Canis lupus familiaris: one gene and its partner. The protein of the gene in region 1 interacts with the protein of each later gene in a pairwise test. Links are inferred from orthologs where the notes say so. Each region holds a gene or a part of one and is shown on either strand. Other genes may lie near its edges. The genes, in order: DCTN2 and GADD45A.

The links.
Region 2: the proteins of DCTN2 (region 1) and GADD45A interact in binary tests that used the Homo sapiens proteins (3 or more experiments, as listed by UniProt). The link is inferred for Canis lupus familiaris from reciprocal best matches to the Homo sapiens genes DCTN2 and GADD45A.

What each region holds. Positions count from the first base shown.
Region 1 is NC_049231.1:1,985,266-1,989,819, forward strand, and holds the start of DCTN2 (dynactin subunit 2), read right to left. Parts: upstream 3,039-4,554; 5' UTR 2,870-3,038; coding exon 2,834-2,869; intron 1,948-2,833; coding exon 1,879-1,947; intron 1-1,878. UniProt on the Homo sapiens protein: Part of the dynactin complex that activates the molecular motor dynein for ultra-processive transport along microtubules. In the dynactin soulder domain, binds the ACTR1A filament and acts as a molecular ruler to determine the length.
Region 2 is NC_049227.1:77,929,174-77,933,584, reverse strand, and holds the start of GADD45A (growth arrest and DNA damage-inducible protein GADD45 alpha), read left to right. Parts: upstream 1-1,597; 5' UTR 1,598-1,747; coding exon 1,748-1,791; intron 1,792-2,010; coding exon 2,011-2,112; intron 2,113-2,646; coding exon 2,647-2,881; intron 2,882-4,337; coding exon 4,338-4,411. UniProt on the Homo sapiens protein: In T-cells, functions as a regulator of p38 MAPKs by inhibiting p88 phosphorylation and activity.

The DNA of each region.
Region 1 (4,554 bases):
CCATTACTCAGCTGACTTCCCGAAGGCTGCCCTTTTAAGGCCCACAGGGACATCCAGAGGCCAGAGACATTAGCTGACATCAGTAAACATCTCAGCACCCCACCCCTTCCTGAAGACGCTGAAGGTCCCCTCACCTTACTCACTCCTGCCTAGAGAAAAAGAGTCATTTAGCTGAGCCTTAGGTGATGGAGGCAACTCGACCCTTCTTGTATTTACCGCCCAGCTCCTATGCACTCCTATGCCGTCATCCTGGGTAATATGCTGCATATGAAATGAACACTTCCGGTACCCCTGCCTATCAGTTACCCCACTAGATACTACTGAAATAGGCTGCTCAGGCTCAGTGGGGAGAAACAGCCAATCAGGGTTGCACATTCAGGTGCTTCCATGCCTGTCATCTTCTTATTAAAAAATATCCCTATATTTTCAAAAGGAAAACTACAATGTATTTTTTGTTTTGGAATGGGGATTGTTGTCATGCTGCCCGTTTGTATCACAGCCAGTGACAAATGGAAAAACTTACATTTATTATCTCACCATGAAGGCTTGATACTTTATAGGCAGAAGCCTAGGCCAGAGTTGAACAGTCTCTGAAATGGGTCAGAGGACTGAGCTTATATACTCTTGTTCTGTGAAGTTAAGGCAGCTTCCTAGTAACATACATCTTGGAGTGATAGGTGTACACCCAGGTCCTTGAGCAATGACAACATCTGCATTATCTCCAGATACTCAAGCTTGGGGGACAGATTGACATGCCAGCAAGTACAGAAGCCACAAGGAACACATCACTGAGGAGACAGGGAAGGTGTTCCCACAAAGTAGGAAGCACTTCCACATGGGGAAAATCAAATAAGGAATAAGTGAGTACGCCAAGCCATACATTATGAGCCAGCAGCCAGCATTCTTCAGGACTAACCAGCCCCACAGACATAGCCACAGGACTTACAGACACACAGACGGAGCCTGCTTCATCAATGTGACCTTAGCCCAGCTCTCTTTGGAATAGAAGCCTAAAACACATCTTGTAAAAAAAAATGCTAATGGAACTTTGTTCCCCTTGGCACTTATAAACAAATGTTTACTATACTGATTTCCATTCACTCCATTTTGTTTATTCCACATATCCTGCATGTATCCTAACTCCCCCATGAGCCTGGGGCATCCTGGAAGGCAGGGACATTTCCTCCTCTGCATTGCACAAAAACCAACACAGAACGAACATATTCAATAAACAGTGCTAAAGCGGCTCCCCTCATGGTTTAAAATGAGTTCCCAGTGAATTTCTTCCTTAGAGTTCTTCTTGTATCTGAAAGTGCTAAGGAATCTCCTTTGCTCCTAGGAAATATTTATGTTTTCCCTCACATTTGTTTTACTCTGACTAGATCCCTCATCTTTCTAAAATCTCCACATCACTTTCTCACTCTTGGCTTGACAGATATTGGCTATTCATGTAAAAAAGCATTCCTCTTTACTTCAAAATCTAGCTCCTGGTAGGATACTAATGAACATGTCTCGAGTGAAACAGTTTATGAAATCAAAGGTCTAGTTCCTAACCTCAAGTAGTTTCCAAGTGTTCAGGCTTCACGATTCATTACCGTAGCCTAGGACCCGGGGGCCTGCCTAAATCACTAGCCCCAACTAAACTGTTTTGAGATATTTCGACTTTATTTAAAAAGACCCAAGAATCAGGTCTTGTTAATTGTAATTCCCTCCTTCCTGGCATTGTTCACTGGTGGCTGTAAGCCTGCAATCTACATACATCCCAGGCTGGGTTGGCATACCCGCTTATTGCTGTGGCTCGCCAGGAAAGGGAAAAGGGTCTGCCTGGGGGACAGAGGTCAGGGTCCGTAAGAGTCCTGAAGCAGCACATAGCCTTACCGCATCAAACTCTGCTTGATCATCTTCAGGTAGGTCGCTGGTTTCATAAACATCTGGCTCGTTCCTGGCCTGCAGACAGAAGCAGTGACCACCCTACCTCACTACCCCGCATCCACCAATACCCCTGACCCACTCCATCTGAGCAGGCTAACAGAGAAGGCAGGCTGTGCGGCCAGGATTCGGTCCCTTGTCTTCCCCCTGCCCAGTGAACCCTATGCCAGTTCCCATGTCTTAAAGGCTGGGGATGACAGGAGGCACAACTGGGACCTCATGATAAGTGGTGAGTGTCAGTGATGACAAAGATGTTACCCTGAATCTGACTGGGGGCGGACCCTTGGCAACTATTACGTCCGAGGTAGAAGAGGGCTGTCTTTGCCTTAGGCCCGTATCCCACTACCCTGGCACACAGGTGGAGAGTGACTCAGGACCTTAGCCCTCAAGGTCCTGTGGCCCAACCCCCACCCTTGAGAATGCAGGCAGGGCAGCCCAAAAGGAGGGTAACAGGCCGGCAGGTGCGGGCGGGGCGGGGGGTGATGGGGGCAGAGTTCTCTATCGGGCACAAGAAGGCTGCTGCCGCGGTCACCTCCTCTTCGGCAGCGTGGAGGCCACACCAAGTGGCCTGGTACGTGTGTTCGGGTGGGGGTGGGGGAGATCTGGGGAGACACGGGCGGTGCTGACACGCACGGCAGTAACACTCGGGCGCAAGTGGTAAGCGCCCCGAGACGGTTTCTGGGCGGAGAAATCGGCGAGGGCCGGGAAAGGGGCCTGGTAAGCCACTCCGCGACCGGCCAGGTCGGGAGGGAAGAGTCCGGACGGTGCTGGGGGCCGTCGGGGAGCCGGCGGCGGCCCGGGGCCAGGCCGGGCTGCAGGCCGGGGGGTCACGGGGCAGCGCCTGACGGGGGTCCTCGGAGGTCGGGGTGCGGCCCTGGGGAGCCGGGGCTGGCCCTGTACTCACAATGCCGGGAAGGTCGGCGTATTTGGGGTCCGCCATGGCGGCGGCGAGGCGGGGTTGGGGGACCGGGGCCTCGGTGGAGCCGGGGCCGGTGTTCGGGTAGGGGAGAGGCTGGGTCCGAGTCCCGGGCTAAGGCGGCGGCAAAGGGAGCGGCGGAGGAGGCGGAGGAGCAGGAAGTCTCGCGACAGGAGTCGCACAGGAGAGAGACGGGGAAGGCAAAAGTCGCGAGAACAGCCCGCTACCACACCCCTAGAGAGGCCGGGATTGGCGAGAACGCGGCCAGGGAGTGAGGTAATGGCGGGGGACGCCGCCTAGGATTGTGGGATTTGTAGTCTTGGCCCATTCCCCGCTTGGACGGAGAACGGCAATAACGCACCTTGGGGAGTTATTTCACACAACTTCTTTTCTTTTCTTTTTACATCAAGTCTCTGAAACACATTTTATAATTCCTGTTTTTCAGTTGAATACATTTGGGTTTCCAAAGATTAAATGACTCGATAAAAATAACGCATCCTGTTATGCCGTGGCACAGACAGGGCTTCAAAAACAGTAATAGCAAGTAAAATTTAGTAAAAGCTTAGTCATGTTAGGAATTTAAAGGATAAGTAATCTTCTCGAGTTGGAGCTATCAGATAAAATACAGGGCACCTAATTAAATTTGAATTTCAAATAAACAACTACTAGTTTTCTTTAGTGTAAGTATGCCTCATACCATATTTGGGACAAACTAACACACATACACTATTAGTTTTTTTTCATCTGAAATTCAAATTTAACGGGGCATTCTGTTTTAGTTTTTCAAACCTGGCAGTCTTATTTCAAGCTCAGAAAATAGTCAAGTGGTGGCTGTATGTCTGTCTGAACACCCCCTGTGCTCTTATGCACTTCACTAATAGTTTTCAAACTTCTGAATTTCACAGTTCGATAAAATTAAAACAACAGCAAACCTTTTTGAGGATGGACATAGCATTGCTACCTTTTAATTTTGCCAACTAACTGCATTAGAAAAAGAAAGGCTATTGTTTAACCATCATTTCTTACTAGAAAAGTAGGAAGAACATACTCTCAAGAAAGTCCTTTGACACTTTGTAAGTCTAGTTTGTGAAAAACCTACTGCATTGTGTGTGGGTGGGTTTTCTTGGGGGGGGGCGTACCCAGTAAAGTTTTTGTCCCCGACCCTCCCTAGACAAGTTTTTTTTCCCCCCTTTTTTTCTAGATAAGCATTTTTTGTTTTGTTTTGTTTTGTTTTTTGAAAGTCCATTAAGGCTACCACCCTAGAGTCCCTGGGGGCCTGAGTTTGGGATGTTTTCCAGAATGTTTCCTGAGCTTGCAGGATGCTGCAACACTTAGAAATAGTGCCAGACCAAGTGACTGGAGAGATGCTTGTGTTCCTGAGTTTGGAACTCATTGTCATTCTATGCATACTCTCCTGGCTGCTCCCCAGACCTCTACCTCTGTTTCTACGTAGTCCTCCTGGCTTGTCATCCAGTTTCTTGCGCTGGACCCATTTCCTTCAATTTCCATAAGACTCAAGGTGGGTGAGAGGTATAGGCCTGATGTGGGGAAGCCCTCAGCTGAGTTCTGAGCGGTTAGCTCTTGTCTGACCAGGTCACCATCCTCTCACTCTTGCCTCACAGTGTCCAAGTGACCTTAGACAGTTGCTAGGGAGAACCTCCATCCCCTCCTCCCTTCTCCCATCACCACACTCCTTCCCTTGGCCTGGA
Region 2 (4,411 bases), on another chromosome or scaffold:
GCCATGGCCATTCCTTCACTCAAACACGGCCCCTTGCTGACGGTGCAGTTAGGGATTAAGTGCAAAATGTCAGCTCAAATAAATGAGCCAGAAAACCAACATATCACTTTTCTTTTCCACTAAATTAAGATCAAGAGAGCTGGAGAATATTTTGTCTAGAATGATACAAACATGCAGGTGCAAAAACTCCTATGCACCTTTGCAAAAAATTACTTCTCTGACCTCTGGCTATCCAGAGACCTTAATAATGCAAAGCACTGTTTCGAATGAGAGCATATGGGAGGCATTTTCACCACTTTTGGTGACTTCAATAGGTTTAAGACTTGTTTCTGCATTTATCGCATACACTCATAAAACAAAGGCGAGAACTTTCAACCTATGAAGTCAAAGTCTATCCACTGAAGTCTGCTTTTCAGAAGTGTGTTAACTTCTGCTTGCTTTCCACCCACAGGTTGCCATTATCTCAAAGGTGAAATTTTAGCGTATGACTAAAAGGTCCTATAGCTGCAGCTTCATGATTCAGCATCTAACATCAATAACTCACAGTGAGATCACAGGCTCTCTGTGGAAGGTAGTGACATACTTGCCTTATGAAAGGAAGCTCAGGGCATATTGAGAGTATTTTGAATTTAGACTTGTGTGGGCGTCAGACGTGTGTGTCTCTTAGCTGGGGCAGGTGCAGAAGGGTCCTCCTTTGGGAAAAGCTCTCGGGAAAGGTGAATTTGGGTCGTAAGTCTAGCAATTGCACATGCGGCCCCCCTCCTGACCACGGTTTCCAGAGTCACCCTGGGCAGGTGGGAAGCCTCTCTGCTTTCCGTGGAAAAGATTCCAGCTTGGTTCCGTGCCATTACCAAACACAAATGTGTTGATTTTTCTTTTTTGAGCTTCCAACCCTTGCAACCTTCCAAAAATAAATCAAACCAGCCATCAGGGCACCGAAATAATACTACTACTAATAAGCAGCTTTGCCTAGACTTACATAAACAACACTTCTGAAGTCAACTTTGCCCCAGAGGTCTGAAACACTCTTTTTATGTAACCTGCTTACTAATAATTACTAGACTTGGGTGCATTAGCCCTGGAAATAGACTTTAATAGCAACTGCTAAAAACAAAAGACATGAAACGACAATAAAATAAAAATGTGCACCAACCAGAAAAACAGTTGGCAGCCTGCTCGGGGCTCAAGTGGAAGGCACCCCTCTGCCCCGCCGCTGCAGAGACCCCCCACCCTCCTCGGAGCCTCCCACCGGATCAGAGTCGGCTCCGGACCCGCCCCGCCCTCCCCCTCCCCGCCCCGCCCTCCCCCTCCCCGCCCCGCCCTCCCCCTCCCCGCCCCGCCCCCTAGGCCGCTCGCCCCGCCCCCTAGGCCGCCCGCCCCGCCCCCTAGGCCGCCCGCCTTCCGCGTGGCTCCGCCCCCTTCCGCTCCTCTCCCCGCGGGTCCTGGAGCCGGGGTCACATGGTCGGAGCAGGCTGATTTGCATAACCCAATGGCTGTGCGCATGCAAATGAGGCGGGTGGTGATTGGCTGCGGTCGGCCCCATAAGGGCGGCGAGGGGGCCTTTGTCCCAGTGGCTGCGGCGGCGGCGGCGGCGGCGGCGGCGGCGGGCGCAGGGGCGGGGCGGAGCGGGGCCGCGGACGGGCGGACGGACGGGCCGACGGACGCGGTGCAGACGCCAGGCGCCGCGCGCCCGCAGAGGCCCGAGCAGCCCGCACGCCGCGCCCTGGGGCGGACCCGCGGCTGCAATATGACTTTGGAGGAATTCTCGGCCGCGGAGCAGAAGAGCGAAAGGTAGGGCGGCGGCCTCCCGAGCGCCCCCCGCCCGCCCCGGGCACCGCCCCCGAGGCGCCGGCGGACTGACGGACGGACGGACGGACTGACGGACGGGCGGGCGGGCGGACGCGCCCCTCCCCGCGGGCCCTGGCGGCGGCCTCGGGGAGGGCGATGGGGTCGGAGGGCGGCTGGCGGGCCGGGCCTGGGCTGACGCGCCCCGCGCTGGCTCCCGGGCAGGATGGACAAGGTGGGGGACGCCCTGGAGGAGGTGCTCAGCAAAGCCCTGAGTCAGCGCACCATCACCGTCGGCGTGTACGAGGCGGCCAAGCTGCTCAACGTGTGAGTGGGGCCCCGCCCCCCAGGCGACCCCGCGGAGCCCCCCACATGCCCCCGGGGAGCCCCCCCACCTGCCCCCGGGGAGTGAGTCTTACACCTGCCCCCCGGAGACCCCCCCCAGGCGACCCCGCGGAGCCCCCCACATGCCCCCTGGAGAGCCCCTCCAGGCGACCCCGGGGAGCCCCCCACCTGCCCCCGGGGAGTGAGTCTTACACCTGCCCCGGAGACCCCCCCCCCCCAGGCGACCCCGCGGAGCCCCCCACATGCCCCCGGGGAGTGAGTCTTACACCTGCCCCGGAGACCCCCCCCGAGGCGACCCCGCGGAGCCCCCCCACCTGCCCCCTGGAGAGCCCCTCCAGGCGACCCCGGGGGAGCCCTTCACCTGCCCCCGGGGAGCCCCCCCCACCTGCCCGCGGGGAGTGAGTCCTCCACCTGCCCCCGCGGAGCCCCCCACCTGGCCCGGGGGCGGGGGGCGGCGGGCGGGCGCGACCCTGGGACCCCGGGGCCTGCGCGCTCAGCCGCCCCCGCCGCCCGCAGCGACCCGGACAACGTGGTGCTGTGCCTGCTGGCGGCCGACGAGGACGACGACAGGGACGTGGCGCTGCAGATCCACTTCACCCTGATCCAGGCCTTCTGCTGCGAGAACGACATCGACATCCTGCGCGTCAGCAACCCGGGCCGCCTGGCCGAGCTGCTGCTCCTCGAGCCCCACGCCGGCCCCGCGAGCGAGGGCGCCGAGCAGCCCCCGGACCTGCACTGCGTCCTGGTGACGGTGAGGGGGGGCATGGGGGTGCGCGGGGTTGCACGGGGTCGGGGGGGTGCACGGGGGAAGGGCCGGACCGTCCTGGTGACGGTGAGGCGGGGGGGGGGGGGCGCGGGGGTGCACGGGGCTGCGGGTGGTGCGCGGTGGTGCACGGGGAAGGGCCGGACCGTCCTGCTGACGGTGAGGCGGGGGGGGGCGCGGGGGTGCACGGGGCTGGGGGTGGTGCACGGGGAAAGGCCTGACCGTCCTGGTGACGGTGAGGCGGGGGGGGGGGGTGCGCGGGGTTGCACGGGGGAAGGGCCGGACCGTCCTGGTGACGGTGAGGCGGGGGGGGGGGGGAGCACGGGGGTGCACGGGGCTGGGGGTGGTGCACGGGGTCGGGGGGTGATGCATGGGGGGTGGTGCACAGGGGTGCGGAGGTGGTGCACGGGGGAAGGGCCGGACCGTCCTGGTGACGGCGGTGGGGGGGGGCGCAGGGGTGCACCGGGTCCTGGTGCCGGTGAGCCCCGGGGTCGGTGGCGGGGCCGAGCTCCCGACCGCAGCCGACAGGTGTGGCCCCATCCCGGCGGGCGGGCGGGCCGGGACGTGTCCGAGCACGCGGGAGCCGCGGGGGAAGGAGCCTCGTGAGTCAGCAGGGCGGCCCCTCCCCACCTCCGCGGCGCTGCCTCCCGTGACCGACTCCCTTAGCAGGCAGATTAGGTTCAGCCAAATAAATTCCTGGCTCCCCCTCATTAAGGAGTCGGCTTCGTCCTCCAGCGCTCCAAGCTAAAAATAGAAGTGGTGTAGGAGACCGACCTTATTAATTCCCTAGAAATACACGAAGAGGACGGAATGGGGATTGTTTTTTATTTGCAATCTTGGATTTTTTTTTAATGGACCCCCCCCCCCCCCATGACTACCTTTGGTGGGAAGATGACTTGTGTTTCCAGAGATAAATAGGACAGTTTTGTCTTTTACATTCTGCTACTTATGGGCTGGTCTAGGTAAGTGGCGGCTTAATCATTTTGCGTGTCCTGAAAACTACCACCCTGTCTTTGGGGAGGATGACAGGTGGCAGTTCCAGCGAACTGTTAGGGGCTCGCCTCTCCCTGGGCTCGGGGCATGGAGATCTTTGTCCGAGCTGTTTCTCGCTCAGGTGGCTTCCAGGGGACAAGCCTCTGAATGCTACTCTGCTACTTTCCTGCAAAAACGCAGTAAACATCCTGCAGTCCCATGTACGCGGTGCGGAGGGCTGCATGCATGCAGGCTTGCAGGGTGTGCTTTAGAGCATTACGTAGTGGTTTCCCCAGAAATCAGCTACCAAGAAAAAAGTTGATCTTTTTATGGTTGTAACTGGTCTCTTGTCACACAGCCAAAGTACAGAATGCTCAAGTTGTCTTTCCCTCGAAATGAGTGTAATTATTAGCAAATGTTGCCTTTTTTTTCTTTTTTAATAGTAAATGTATTTTTCTCAATTTGTTTCCAGAATCCCCATTCCTCACAGTGGAAGGATCCTGCCTTAAGTCAACTTATTTGTTTTTGCCGGGAAAGTCGCTACAT